Rhinolophus ferrumequinum: one gene and its partner. The protein of the gene in region 2 purifies or fractionates together with the protein of the main gene of each other region. This does not show direct contact. Links are inferred from orthologs where the notes say so. Each region holds a gene or a part of one and is shown on either strand. Other genes may lie near its edges.

What was found. The genes of interacting proteins can lie anywhere in the genome.
Region 1: the proteins of GNGT2 (region 2) and GNB2 purify together in Homo sapiens (affinity purification with western blotting; 3 studies listed by BioGRID and IntAct, with this or other methods). This does not show direct contact. The link is inferred for Rhinolophus ferrumequinum from reciprocal best matches to the Homo sapiens genes GNGT2 and GNB2.

The regions. Positions count from the first base shown.
Region 1 is NC_046290.1:90,949,878-90,957,316, reverse strand, and holds the start of GNB2 (guanine nucleotide-binding protein G(I)/G(S)/G(T) subunit beta-2), read right to left. Parts: upstream 3,005-7,439; 5' UTR 2,838-3,004; intron 632-2,837; 5' UTR 543-631; coding exon 486-542; intron 277-485; coding exon 238-276; intron 122-237; coding exon 15-121; intron 1-14. UniProt on the Homo sapiens protein: Guanine nucleotide-binding proteins (G proteins) are involved as a modulator or transducer in various transmembrane signaling systems.
Region 2 is NC_046304.1:34,068,180-34,075,867, reverse strand, and holds the start of GNGT2 (guanine nucleotide-binding protein G(I)/G(S)/G(O) subunit gamma-T2), read right to left. Parts: upstream 3,064-7,688; 5' UTR 2,861-3,063; exon of another isoform or gene 2,714-2,860; intron 2,461-2,713; exon of another isoform or gene 2,252-2,460; intron 1,879-2,251; exon of another isoform or gene 1,753-1,878; intron 1,002-1,752; 5' UTR 980-1,001; coding exon 896-979; intron 612-895; coding exon of another isoform or gene 474-611; exon of another isoform or gene 464-473; coding exon 338-463; 3' UTR 1-337. Other genes in the region: ABI3 (ABI gene family member 3), read left to right, coding at 474-611. UniProt on the Homo sapiens protein: Guanine nucleotide-binding proteins (G proteins) are involved as a modulator or transducer in various transmembrane signaling systems.

The DNA of each region.
Region 1 (7,439 bases), on a different chromosome or scaffold from region 2:
CACCGCACACAAACCTTGAGTCTGTCCCCCAATGCATGGCATAGATTTTTGCCAGGTGCCCACGGAGGGTTCTCCGTGTCCTCATCTGGATTCTCCCCACTGGGTCCAGCCCAGCTGTGATCTAGAGGTAGAGGGAGAATGGGTCAGGGCGGGTCAGGAGGCAGGGCCCACTAAGCAGTATGCCTCAAACCGGAGCTCCTTTCCTAAGCCCCAAGCCCAGCCCTGGATTCATCTCACCTGGGTCAGTGTTGAATCCCCACATGCTTTTCGGGCATCCTACAAGAGATGGCAGAGTCAGTCAGAAAGAGGCAGGAGATAAGACCAGGAGGGGGAGAAGAAACGCAGGAGACAGGAGTGGAGAGGATAAGACAGTAAGGGGGTTTAGGTTACCCCTCACACACACAAAGAACCCCTCCCCCTGCCCAGCACACAGATGCCTGGCCCTGCCCACTCAGCCCTCCCAGCTCAGCCGGCCAGGCCCTCACCCGGATCTGGTTCCGGAGCTGCTCAGCCTCCTGTCTCAGTTGCTCCAGCTCACTCATGGCGCCAGGCCCGTGGGGCGGGGTTGGGGGCGGCTGGGGGCCGCGGGACGGGGGCTGGGGGAGGCAGCTCCTCGCCGCTGGCCCGAGGCCTGGGGGATGCAGGGCTGACGTCAGGCCCAAGGTCGCGGGGAAGAAGGGGGGCAAGGCGGGGTTGAATGCGGCCGGAAAGGGTGAGCACAGGGTAGAGGGGGGGAGGGGGCGGCTGCGGTGGCCGCAGCCCCTTTGCAGAACCCGGGGCCTCTGGCACAGAAAAGATGGGGCCTAGGAATAGCTGACTTCCCCAATCTTCCTCCCGCCCCCCGGAAACGGAGCGGGAAGTGCAAGAGGAAGCGCAGGGGAAACCCCTCCCTCGGACAGCAGCCCGGGCGGGACACCCGCGACAGGAACTGGGGGGGCAAGAGGGCGGGGAGAGTCCCTTCGAAAACAGACCTGGCGTCCGCCCCTGCCCGCACAGGCACCGCCCTCATAGCACCTCATTTTAAAAGGGGCGGTGCCTCTCTAAATTCACCCCCACACGTCGCACACCCTCCACACACACCCCCAAGCTTAGACTCAGGGGGGGAGACCAGAGGGGGAAGCTGAGATGTTCGTGGGGTTGCCTAGGCAACCGTCACCCGGACTGAGAGCACCTCATTGGTGAAGTGCCCCCACCCTAGCCCGGTTGCCAAGGCAACCACATCCACGGCAGAGACCTGTCGGGTGGGTGACCCCACCCCCGGCCCCATCGCCCCCGCCCGACCCAGCCTCCCGCTCCTCCCCAGAACCGGGTGACTGTTTACAGGATTTGGGAAAAGCCGATTGGGCACTAATAGGTTCGGGACGGCTCACCCTGGATAATCCCCAGACCGGCTGCGCCCCATTAGCCGCCCGCGCGGGGTGGAGGCGAGGGTGGCGGGGAGGACAGTCTCAAACCGCTGCTCCCTCCAGAGCCGAGGCCTCTCGCCCCAGCGCGCCGCGGAAAGCCCGTGGGAACCGCTCGCGAGTAATTAGGGCTCGGAAGAGAGGTTCCCGGCCCCAAGGCACGGAGCTGCTCTCTCCCCGGCGCCGGCGGACGGGCGAGAGGCGGCCCCAGACGGCCTGGCCCTGTGTCCTCGGCACCCCAGGAGCCCAGTCTGCGGGTTCGTCGCCGGGGCCCCAGGGGCCTGGCTGGCTCCGCTCCAGGGCTCGTAGTCCTGCCCCCCCCCCTTTGGACACCTGTGTGATCTGGCCATGCACACTGTACTCTGCCAACCCGGGCGTCCCCCACCCTGCTCCCACTTCCCCCAGGCCTGGGCGTTCCTCTTCCCCACGGACATTTTCCCGCTGTCAGTTCAGCTTTCTAAGCCAGCGCCAGGGGATGCCCCTCCGAAAAAGCGGGGAGGGGGCAAAGCCCTCCACCCCACCTTCTCAGCTCCAGACAAAGCCCCTTCCTTCCAGCTGTCAGCAGTCCCGGCCTGGCGGCAACGCCAAAGGCCCGGGGCAGAAGGAAGCTGGGGGCGGGGGCGACGCTCCCTCGCCCTCCAGGGTCCCCAGATTCTGGGCACAGAGCAGCCGGGGCTCCAAGGAGAAATGGGGGTGCCACCGCCTCCGCAGGTCTGGCGGGGCGAAGGGGAGGGGACTAGGGAGGGTCCTGGATCTGGCAGCTGGAAGGCGCGTACCGGTGCCGCGCTGCGAAGCGCAGTAAGCCTGGCCCTTCGGCCCCCACGACCTCCATTTTGCCCAAAAGAAATCTAGGCAAGGGGTGGGGGCGCCCTGGAGCTAGACTTGGGGTTAAGACTCGTAAAGGGAATGGGGTGCCGAGGACTCCCGTCCAGGGTAATGGGGCCAGAAAATACGGGCAGAACCCAAATCGAGGTTAGGATAGAGACGAAGGGAAGGGTGGCCTCGCGGCCTTGCCTGCTTCTCTGAGGATTCTAGAGTTTTGCAAGGCGAATACTGGCGGGAGTGCGAAATGGAAAGACACGAGGGGTGCTACCCAGGGGCAAACGGGGGTGGGGGGGCAGAAAGGGCCTAGAGAAAGCCCCGAATGTGCCCCCCAACTTCTCAGGGAGCAAGAGGCAGGCGAGGCCGGGATGGGATCTGAGGTCAGATAAAATGCGCCTGAAGGTGCAGGGAGCGCGTGCGTTATTGGGGATGAGGGTCCCCCAGTTCCCCTTCCGGGTTTAGAAGCGACGGGGCCGAAGGAAGGGAGGGGAGGTCTGGGGAGTTACGTCCGCTCCCAAGAGGCCAGATCGGGGAAACAGAAGAAAGAGAGGTTTCCCCTCAAGGGAATTTGGGGCTGGGGGAGATGAGGACTCCTTTTGTCACCGGAGGTACCTGTGGCGGTGGGACTCTGCGAAGGGTCGCTAGAGGAGCGCGGGAGGTCCTGTCTTCCTCCGCGGCGGAGGCGGCAGCGGCGGCGACGCGGATGGATTTCCTCAGTCACCCCAACTCAACAGTCCAGCGCTGCTCTCCCCAGAGCGGAGGGATCCCGCCCGCCAGTGACGCGGCCGTCGCCGCCGCGCCCAGGGCCCGGCAGGGCGAGACCAACTACCTAGTGGGGGGAGACCGGAAGGGAAAATACCACCTAAGGGGCAAAGACTGACTCTGTCAAAACGAAGATATTGCCCCACGCTATTTCGACGCAAAACGGACTAAAATTAATGCTTTGCTTCCCGAAAGGGAGTAAGACATTCCCCCTGGGACTGACAAAGGTGGTATCGGCATAAGGGAGGGTGAAACAGCTCTCTGGTCACGTGACCTACCCTCCCGGATTGGGTGGCTCCAGACTGGGAAGGGAAGCTCAACGCCCCAGTTCTCGGTTTGACCACGCCCCCACCCTGGTAAGACCACGCCCTTCAGGGGACGGAGTTTCAGAGATCCTGACCCTGGCAGGACTGGGTAGGAGGAGGCCTCCAGGAGGCGGAGGGAGAGGGCTGTGATTCTGGAAGTCCCTGAGCAGGAATGAATGGGGCCCACTGCCGGCTCTCGGGAACGTGGGACTGCCTTGAAAAGGGTCTTGCCCAGGCAGTTTCCCACCAAAAGTGGGATTTTGTAGAACTCTTTACAGATCTGCATGACACTGTAATAATAACTCATACTTGTGGAATCCTCACGACAATACTGTGACATGAACCAAGGCAGCTTTAGCGACTTCACTGTGCAATGAATAACAAACAGTCTAGACTCTTGATGAAACCTCCTGTGGGCCATCTCTGTAAAGGGATGAAAATGTAAGTACCTGTATAGGCCTGTTTCCACCTCTGTAAAATGAGAATGTTGACCTGTCCAAGTCACGTTGGATTGTTATGATTCCCCACGGATTGTAAAAATGCTTTGGAAAGTTTAAATCAGTGAATAACCTTCACTGAGTCCTCATGCAATTTAAAAGTAAAGTATCAAAACAGACACTTTTCATTTAGCCTCTGTTAAAGCATTACAAATAGTTCCCTAAGCACAATTTTTTAAAGAAAGTAAGAAAAAATATTGTATGTCAACTGTATTAGAGAAATAAAATTTTAAAAATGCTGGAAGTATAAAAAAAAAAGAAAAGAAAAAGTCACATTCTTAGTTATGTCCAAATTCCATTTATGTGCACTTACCAATTCAGTGTTATATTAACAGTAGATAATAGATGTCAATTAGATGTTAGAACTTGGAAGGAACCTTATAGATAATATACTTCGATTTCCTCTCAATCTACAGATGGGCAGAGTGACTTCCCTAACGTCACTTAGAAAACTATCAGCCTAGGACTAGAACCCAATTTTGTTCATCTCTATAGGGCATCTGACTGCTTCCTTTCACTTTGGTTTCTGTGCTAATAGGCTTTCCTGTTTTAACTCATCCAGCAAATATTTATCAGATCCGTGTTCTATCAGGCACTGTCCTGGGTGCTGAGGATGCAAACGTGAACACATGCACCCTGGTCTGCCTGCTGGGAGCTTACAGTTTACAGGGGAAAGAGATGGTAGATGATTATTGAAATAACAATTAGTACTGGTGTCCTGGAAGTGCCACTTACTGAGAGCAGAACATTTGGGAGGGACACCATCAGTTTTAAGTTGGGATGCGTTAGGTTTGAGGTCCTAGGAGAGGTGCAAGGAAGTATGTTCAGTAGGTGGCTGTCCAAGCAGGTCTGGGGCTCAGCAGCAGAGTCTGGGTTGGATTAGAGCCTTGAGAGTGAGTGGCGTTTTACAGCAGATGAAATCATAAAGAGGTGCAGGGAAAGGACAAGATGGCCTAAGACCAAGCTCTGAGGAGCTCCAACATTTAGAGGTCAAGCAGAGGCAGACAAGCTGCCAAAGGAGAAGCCAGAAAGCTAAGAAGAAAATCAGGAAAATGTGGAGATCCGGAATCCAAAAGAAAAGAGTGTTCCAAAACGTGAATGGTAAATTGTATTGAATGCTGCAGAGAGATGAAGCAAGACTAGACTGAGAAGTGCGCATAGGATTGAGTAACGTGGAGGCCACTGGTGACTTTGCTGGAACATTTGCAATGGATGCTCTGCTTGCAGTGGGCTGAGGGTGAGTGAGAAATGAGGCAGTGGAGACAAAGTGGCCAAGGCTTTGGGAATCTTGGCTTGGAGGGGGTGTAGAAAGGGGCGGCATCAGTGGAAGGAGAATGTGGTATTGTTGTATTTGTTTTTGATGGTAGCTACTGGAGTTTGTTTAGATGATAATGGGAATGACAGGTGGTATGGGGTGGGTGGAGGGAGAGGTGAAGGATACGGACAGGTAGGGGATGACCAGTGGATGACAAATTTCTCTGAGAAGTCAGAAGCCCTGGAGCACCTGGAAGAACCTGGCTCTGACAGGTAATGGGACACTTCCTCCTTCCTCTGACTGTTCTTTCTCAGGCTTCTCCTTGACCTTCTTCTCCACGGGGCATTCTGTAAACATTGTTTTTCCCAGGATCCTGACTTCAGTCTCCTCTTCTCACTCTCCATGTTATTCACTGGTGACTTCATCCATTACTGTGTCTTTAACTACCCCCTAATTGCTCATAACTCTCAAACCTCTATCTTCAGCCCAGATGTCTTTCCCCATGTGCAGACTTGGTATATGTCCAACTGCAGACTGAATATCTCCATCTGGATGCTCATAGACAGTGGTGTGCTGGAGTCAGCTTGTGCCAGCTCAGGCCAGCTCACAAGAGCCCATTGTGTACCTCTCTTCCACACTCCTTGTTCAGTGAAGTCATGTAGACAGTAGTAACTTGTAATCATCATGGTGGGTGTATTTACATCATGGAAATTGGCAAGTGTTTCAGATCAGGGCTCCCCTTTCCAAAAGAACTGGTTGTTAAAACATTTACTACACACCACTGTTCTCAGACATTTCATACTCAACATATTCAAAACTAAATTAATCTTCTACTCCATCCCACTCTACCCAACCCTACCCCATTTCTGTATCTCTTGGCCCAATTAACAGCACCATCATCCATCCAGGAGCTTCTCACTTCTTTATTGAGCATATCCAAAGGATGGTCAACTAATTAATACAGCCCAAGCTGCTATAACAAAGAGTCCCAAAAATTCAATGGCTTAAGTGATAACCCCAAAATAGATCCTCCAGATCTGGGGGGGGCGTCTCTGCCATTCTCAAAATGTAGCTTCCATCTCTGTGTCCAATGTGGCACAAGCAGCTTCCACTATTATATCTGAATCTCATCCATTGAGAAGGAGGTTGGGGTGGGAAGCACAAGTATATTGCTGTTTAAGGACACCACTAACTTCTGCTCAGAAGTTGGCCAGGTGCAAGGAAGGCTGGGAAATGTAGTCTCTAGTCATATACCCAGCTAAAACATTATTAAGAATTGAAGAAGGGAGATGGCTATTGATGTAAGGCTAGCAGTCTATGTCACTGGTGGATACATCTTATCAAGTCTACCTCTTGTATATTGCTTAAATCCATCCCTTCTACTGTATACCAACTCCTGTCACCTTGATTCTCGCCTATTTCCTGGCTTCTAGGGTAGTCCCTCTCCAATCAACCTGTCAAATAGCTGCCAGAAATATCTTTCTAAAATGCAAATTGGATCGTATAACTTTACTGTTCAAAACCATGCAGTCGTTACCCATCAATTCCATGAGAAGGGCCAAACTTCTTTGCATGTCACACAGGCTGGGTCTTGTTTATGCTACTCAAACCGACTTCCACCCTCACTCTAACTCTACTTCCTTGTCAGCCATGAAAATTCAGGTCATTTTCTCAGGCTTAGTTTCAGTATTGTCTCCCTGACCACACTGTTGTTTGTGCCCCACTGCAATGCTGGCTCCATTCCTATTGCAGCCTTGCTGGACTGTTTATTTCTGGGCACTAGCCACCTGTACTAGGCTAGGGGTTCCCTGTGAAGCCAAAGCACTTGGTTTATCTGGCAGAGGGCTGGGGGAGAACTCTCCAAGAAATGAGCAGACTCGCACAAGATGCCAAGTCATTTCCAAAGTGTGGGGTCTGAGGGTCCTGGCCCTACCACTTTTGACGTCATTACCAAGTGCTCAGGTTTGGCCAACCTGGATGCGGGCCTGGAATGTGAGAACTTCCTGATGACTTTATTGAATTGTTTATTCATTTATCTTCCAGGATAGACATTAAACTGGACAAGAGTCTCATCAAGTTATATGAACCATTTTATTCCCAGTGTCTATCAGGCACTTAGAGAACATCTATGAAATGACTGTAAGTATAGCAACATTACCCCCAGGATCAATAGTTTTCTCAGTTCAAATATCACTTACCAGCTGAGTGATCTTGGGCAAATCACTTAACCCATCCATGCCTCTGTTCCCCCTGCAAAATGGGGGTAATGATCGGGTCATTATGAGGACTAAATTACTTAATATTTGTAAAGCATTTATAACAGTGCCTGGCATATAGTAGATGCTTTGTGTGGGCTAAATAAAAATAGAGTTCAGGCATGAATGGGTTGGTCTTT
Region 2 (7,688 bases):
GTCTCCTAAGTCTGCCCTCTGGGATCTCAGGGTATCGCAGGCTCTTCAGAACCCACCACGCATGGGGCCAACTGCAAAGCTAGGAAAGATCCCAGTGTTTCCAAGCGGGGTCAACAGGGACCCAGCAGGTGGAGGAGACAGTGGAGAGAAAAGAGTTGAAAGTGGGGTCGGGGAATGAATTCACAGTGCATACAGCCAGACACCTTTACCTACTCATTTTGTGACTTAAGAGAAGGAGGAAATTTACTGGTTCTCTGGGAGTCCCAGGACACTTGGTTCTGGGTGAGGAGTGGGGCTAAGGAGGGACAGACATTCAGGGTGACGGGCTCCGGTGCCATCAGCTTATCATACAAGCGCCTTTCTCCTTGAAGGGATTCTTGTCCTCGGGGATGCCTTTGAGAAGAGGGTCGTTTCCTGCTTGGGCCTCCACATAATCCTTGATTTCTTTTCCCGTCTTAGAAATCTGTGAAAAAATGAAGTATGGTTCCAGCCCTTGTTTGTTGTTTAGGATCCATGACTTGGTCAGTCCCAAGAAAACAGGCTTCTGGACAGGATGGAGATGGCGGCCAGAGAGGAGAAAGACGAAAGGGACAGGCAGGTGTGAGAGGAGTGTGAGTTCCTTGCCCAGAACCACAAAGTCTGATTCTTACCTGCGAGGGACACTGGGCCAGGCCCAGGCCTAGACAGGGCTGGACACGCTGAGCCCGCCAGGTGCAAAGGTTCTCTCCTGTGCACCTCCGTGGGGTCAAACCCCAGCCTCCTTCCACATCCTACCCCATCCCAGAGGCACCTCCTGCTCCTTCTAGTGCCCTGACATGGTCCCCCCACCCCGTTGTTTTTCCTGTCCGGCTCCATAAGGAACAGGAAGGGATGAGAAAGGGAAGAGGAGGCTCACCGGGGCTCTTGGGTTCCTCACTTCCTTCTTCAGCTGTTCCACCTCCATCCTCAATAGCTCCTTCTCGCTGAGCTCCTGGGCCATCCTGCCCTGGAGAGACCTGGTCCTGGAAAGGATTCCACAGCCAGAATGGCAAATCTCCTGGACTCCCCAGCTCCCTCCTCTGCGCTCTCCACACCTCAACGTCTACCCTCATCTCTGCCTTGTCCCTCATTTCAGGCCCTCATTGCTCATCATCTATCCCCTGCTCCTCCCCATCCCACCTCTGTCATGAGTCTAAGCTCAGGAAGAGAGGACACTTCCAGTCTGATGCGGGTGGCACCAACTCTGCCCTCGGATAAGAACCTGTGTGTGGAGGAAACAGGAATCAGAGCATGGAGAAGAGAGACAAAAGGAGTTTCTTTCAGTGGGGAAGATTTGGGAAGCAAAGTTAGTGTTCCACATACAACACAGATAGAAGTTTTCAGAAAATCCCAGGTCCTGTCAAGGGAGAGTGTACCCTAATGGTTAAGAAAAGAGCTCTGGAGCCTGTCAGACTCTAGCTCCAATCCCGGCTCTGCTGTTTCCAAGCTGTGTGGCTTGAGGCAAGTCACTCAACCTCCTGGAGTCTTAGTTTCCCCATCAGCAAAATGGGCATTATAATAATAGTACCTACTTTATACGTTTATTGTGAGTACTAAAAACTAATGATTATACGAGTAACATGTTTTAATACACTGCCTGGCACATAGTGAACACCTAACACCACCATCATCACCAATAGCTTCACTACATGGTTATCAGGAAGTCCTGTCGGATACCTAACCTCCATAATTCTAAGACTATATCCAGCTCAGTACAGCCTCAGCCCCTCTCACCTGCCAAGAAAAAGCGTGCACTTCAAGTCCCCGACTCAGACAAGATGATGTTTGAGTATCCCAGCTCCTCATCAGCTGAAAGTCTTTGGATGAAGCAGATGGTCTGGAAGCCCAAATCTCTGCCGCCTAAGCGGATCACAGGCTCGTGGTTCTAAGCCCATCCTCGGCCTGCGCCTCCAAGCCGTCCCTGCCACCAGAGCAGACCCCCTGCCCCCTGCATCAGCCCCACTCCTTTAGTGATCCTCCCGGCTTAGAGCCTATTTCCCCACTTCTCACCCCCTCTAGCCCTACATGCTCCCCCCCTTCTGTCCCAAGCCCTTCCCTCCCGTACCTCTGAGGGGGCGCTGAGGCTATTCTTCCCAACGAGGCAAGTCCTAGACCATCTCCTAACTTCCCTCACCAATAAGCCTTTGTGCCCCCCATTGGAGCCCCACAATTTCACCTTGCAAGGTTTTCCCAGCTCACTCTTCACTCACTCATCCAATAAAAATGTACTCACACAGGCTGCTGTGCTATTTAGCACTTGGGGCCATGGCCACCTCTCACGCCTGTGTCCGTGCTTCTTTGCCTCCACGCCTCCCTCAGGCTCCAGGGCGTGGGTCTCCCTCAGCAGTCCTCCAGCTCAGGGCCTCTATCCTGATCTTTCTCTTGCTGTCCTCCCAGGACCACCCACGATGACAGACACTGAGCTCCTGTGCAAGCGGATGCCTGTCCAATGACAAGGGGACCCTCTCAAGGAGCTGGTGTTAAGGGACCGATATGGTCACTGAGCGATCCTCTTTTTCTCCTGCCTCTGTGATGACAGACGGCAGTGGGAGGGCCCTGAGTCCACCCTAACTTCCCATGCTCCGGGATCTGAGTCCCACTCACCACTGTGAGCTCTAAGAATTTGAGATCAGGACAGGACCCTGGAGGTCATCCAGTCCAGCTCCCCTGTGAATGCAGGAAATAGAGCACCTACCTCCTAAGGCCAGCTCAGTGCTCTATCGTACACCGCTGCTTCCTCAACCTGACCAGTTCATCTGGAAACTGAACCTGCTGCTTCTCAAAGCCAAGTCCTTCCTGTCGTCTAGTCTGAGTCTCTCACAATACACTCGGTCCATTTCACCTTGTCCTGCCTCCATCGGGCACAGAGCTTGTACACCAGATCGTCACCACACGGAACGCTTCAGAGGCTTGATAACACTTCTCAGGGGTCCTCTGGCTGCATCTTCCTGGTATCGGCCGGGTTCTTCTTGCTGCGGCATTGTCTGTTTTCCATTGTTGCTACTCCCTTACTCCGCAGCCCCAAGCCTGACTGGTCTCCATATCCTTTCCTCCCTCCAGTCTCCTGTCCCTTGGTGACTCATCCCTGGGCTTCCCAAGGAAGCCCCCACCCTCTGCCCTTTCCTCCTTTTCCATGAGTGGAAAATCCACCTCCACCCCCCCCCCCAGCAGGCCAGCCCCCTTCCTCCTCTGTCTCCCACCCCACCCCCCCGCCAAACATTTCCTCTCCAGGCCCAGGGAGCAATCACAACTGCCCAGACCTTAGCTTCCTCTGTTGGGAGAGATTGGGGGGCTGGGCCCCCAAAGGGGCAACTGGCTTCCCCCTTCCTTTGGGCAGGGGACAGAGAGGCACAGGCCTAGGGAGCAGGGACTAACTTCCTCTTGTCCCGGAATGAGCATGACTGCCCTTTGCAAGCAGGTTTGGGTCTCTCACGAAGAGGAAACCAAAAGCAGCAAGAGGGAGGGTAAGGCAGGGCAACCAATCAAGGGCAGGGTGAGGCACAAAACCAGCAGCTCCCTGGGGAGCCTGTCAGAGGCTGGGGGCGATGGAGGAGCTGCAGCAGCTGCAGGAGTTTGAGATCCCCACGGGCCGGGAGGCTCTGCGGAGCAACCACAGCGCCCTGTTGCGAGTGGCCGATTACTGCGAGGACAACTATGTGCAGGTAGGCAGAGCCTGTACAGGCCCCGTCACGTCACCCCAGCCCCTCCAGGGGCCCAGAGCCCATCTCCAGCGTGAGGCTGTGGGAGCCATTCTGACAGGTGTTTGTCCTGGGCTTTGGCGGAGAAATCCTCCCCCTCCAGGCCTCAGCGTCAACCCAGTCCCCGGAGACCTCCTGCTACCCACGCCCCCACTGTGCCCCTACTCTGTCCCAAAGCCTCAGAGCTGTTTGGGCAGGGCGTGCTATTCCATCCCGTTGTCAGGCCTCACCCTAGGTCCATCTCCTTCCTTCCCAGCCTCTCATGCAAATCCTCAGGCCCAAAGCCTCGTCCTCACACAGATGGTGGTGCCATCATTTCATTTTCAGGCTGGCTCTAGGTAAGGCTTCAGAACTTCCCAAACATTGTAGTGAACGTGTAGAGAAAGAGAGGGAGAGTGGAGAGACATCAGACTAGTGTGGGTTAAAGAGAGGGGGTCTGGAATGGGGGTGGAGGGGATGGAGAACCTGACTGCTGGAAGCAGGCTACCAATGAAAGACCAGGATATTGGCATTTTAGAACAGTTTTCTAATTTGCGTGGTTGTCCCAGGACTGAGCATGTGGATGGATTCTTGAATCAAGGAAAGAGGGACGAGAAAAACGTAATACCAACTGAGCACCTCTGTTCGTTCATTAATCCTCACAAGCACGTTGTGAGGCAAATATTATTATTCCTATTTTATTGATGAGGAAATAGCAGCACCGGGAGGTGAGGTGACTTGCCCAAGGTCACACAGCTTGGAAACAGTAGAGTCAGGCATCAGCCCAGGCCTTCTGACTTTTGAAACCGAGCTCTCTCCTCTCCACCTTCCTGCCTCCCTGACATGCTTTATGACTCTTGCCCTCAGTTTCCTCTGCACCCTTAAGAGCTACAGGATAACCTTTTTATCCCTTGGGCAAAACTTTACTTTTCTAACTATTCTAACCAAACGGTGGGAAGAGGCACAGGGACCTCCTAGATCAGTAGGAGTGTTGAAAAAAATAAATAAATAAGAGGAGCAAGTGTTTATGGGAAAATGGCAGATTAAAGAGAATCAATGATAACAACAGTTCAAAAGCTCTGCTCCCTTACTTTAGGCAGGTGCCTCCTTTCATCCTCACCCCTGTCCTGTGAGATGAGAACCACTCCCATTTCACAACCTGGAGGCTGAGGTTAAGAAAGGTTAACTTACTTTCCCAAGGTCTCCAAGCTAGTGGCAGAACCTGGATTTGAACCCGTAATTTTGACTCCAGAGCACACCCACCAAACCTCTAGTTGAAAATGCTACCCAGGGTACAATTTCTGTCTGTGTAGATATGAAATGACCAACTTGTAGATGAGATGGAACACGGCTTATAAGCCAGCTCCATTCTCATAGCATTGGCAGGCACTCTCGTCCACAAGAATGGAAGCGCTCCTTCCCAGTCCTTCAATAACTTCTGCATGTCCAAAGCACTTCCGGGTGGGTTCTCATTTGCACACAGTGTGCACACAGGATTTGAGGGCACAAAGACCTGAATCCAATTTCCAACTTTGTCATCTAACAACTACAGGACCTGTGGCAAGTTTCCCCTCTATTCTTATACCTTCCTTCACAGGGGTCACATGGGTTAAGTGTGATAACGTATTGAAGCATTTAGCCCAGTGTCTGCCCCTTAAGAAGGCAAGGATAAATGGTAGCTGTTGCCATTATTATTCTTATTACGATGATCACCATTCATCAGAAGAATGAGAGATACATATAGATAACAAAAGTCAATTCTAGGGAGGTGAAGTAGCCCTTGCAAAACACCCAGGGCATACGAAGCTCTGAGCCAGGTCAGAATCCCTGGACTCCTGCTTCCTTCATGCAGAACACTACTAGACCACACAACCAGTGACCTTTCCTGGCCTCTCTGAGGATCTTTGGGGAGCAAATCCCTAGGAAGGGTTTAGGCGACTTCTCAGCACTGCTCTTTCACAGGGCCTGGTTCCCAGGCCTTCCACATTTCCACCACCCCTTTCCTCCACCCCAACCAGGTGTCAGGAAACCCTTGGGCAATGGTAGAGGGCAGGCTAGGGTCAACAGCAGAGTTCTTGGTCAGGGTCCATTGAGTTTACAAACAGAGTAATTTGCATGATAAATAAGCAGTCAACCATGAAGATGGATCCCAAACCTTTGATCTCCAGACTTAACTTTGGTCCAAGACCAAAAGGGATCTTGCCTCCCAGAGCTGGGCCCAACCAGACAGTTTTCCTATTTGAGTTGATAGGTAAATCCAGTGATGAATTCCACATGCCAGTCCAAGTGGGAACAGTATAGGAGAGTTGAGCTGAGAAATATGGGTGGAGATCAAATGCTCCATCGGGCCTTCATTTCCTCACCTTCCAAAGGAAGGTCTTGAACTAGAACAAGACCTGCTATCCTTTCTGGTTTTAACATCCTGGGTTGATGGTTTGCCTTTTTAAGGCACTTGGTTACACATGCGATGAAATGTAAATTGCATGCAAATGAGCACCTCTTAACTGCTGGTGGAATAGAAAGGAAAGGAGGAGTAACAGGGGAGGGTCAGCTCAGAAGATTCTGGGTCTGCCCTTTGGCTCTAGCCTGGCTCAGGCTACTTTGGAGGCACCCAGGTTTCTCTGGGTACCCTGCTCTGATAGGTTCCACGTCTCTTCTTCACTGACTGGCCTTGAGTGTTGTTAGCAAGGAGCCCCCATGGTGCCACCTTGCTTGTCAGTCCACTGGCCTTCCTGCAGGGTTGCCCTGGCCTTACCCCTTACCCTTCTAGAGAAAGGTAGAGGTTAGAGTGCAGCAATTTCATGACCCCACCAGAGATGAGGAAGCTGCCTGAGGAACCAAATGACCAGAGAAGTTTTGTCCCAGCTCACATGGTCTGATCTGGGACTGAAAAAAAACTTCTGCCTTCAGCCACTCCCTGCCCACCCCTCCACCACTGACTGGCAGTGTGACACTGCCCAGCCCTTGGCACAGTATCTGGCATGCAATGGGAAGATGCCCAGCAAGTATTTGGGTTTGCATCCAATCCATTAATTAACTTACAAACACATATTTATTAAGTATCATCTGTGTGGGGGGGGCACTCTTCCAGGATGGGATCCAGAATACAACACACAGGCTCCCTGCCCTCACTGTGCTTACATTTTAGTGTGTGTGTGTAGATAATAAAGTAAATAGATAAATAATTGCTGATAGTGCTAAGAGCTTTGAAGAAAAGCGAACAGGGTAAATGTGTTAGAGAGTCAATACAGAAGTGGGCTGGGGTAAATTGTAGGGTGGTGAGGGAAGGTGTCTCTGAGGAGCTGAGACTTACGAAGGATTCTAGAAACAAGTACAGCAAGTGCAAATGCCCTGAGGTAGAAACGATCTTAGCTTGATCAGGAACAAAAACCCAACGGCCAATGTGGTTGGAGGGAAGTAAGTGACAGGGGGAGTGGTAGAGGATGAGGGTGAAGAGAAAAGCAGGATCCAGTCTTGCGGGGTCCTACATAGGCCATGGTTAGAAGTTTGGATTTATTCCCCATGTACTGGAAAGCTACTGGAGGGAATGAATGAATGAGGTCACTCTCTTCTGGGCCTCAATTTCCTTATGTGTAAAATGGACCAGATCATTGGTTCCCAAACACCCACCTGCAGACTGGAGCTAAACAAGGAGCACAAGAGTTATGTAGGGAGCTTTTAAAGGCATAGAGTCATCAGCCTCGTTCCCAGGGGATTCTGGTTTAGAAGGTCTGAAGAGGGGGCCTGACATTGGTTGGTTGGTTTTAAATTTGAGACCTCCGCCAGCCAGTATTGCCTTCCTCTCTCCTTCTTACTATTCACCCTTTATGCCCCAAGAGGTCCTCAAGAGGGAGGTAGGGTCAATCCTAAGCTTGACTTTTTGAGCAGGGGTGTCTCTCCCTCCCCTTGTACTCACTTCTTCGGGCTGCAGATTTGCTTTCCCTGATGTCCTGAGTCTCTCTTACTGTAACATCATTCATATGGAAACCACTT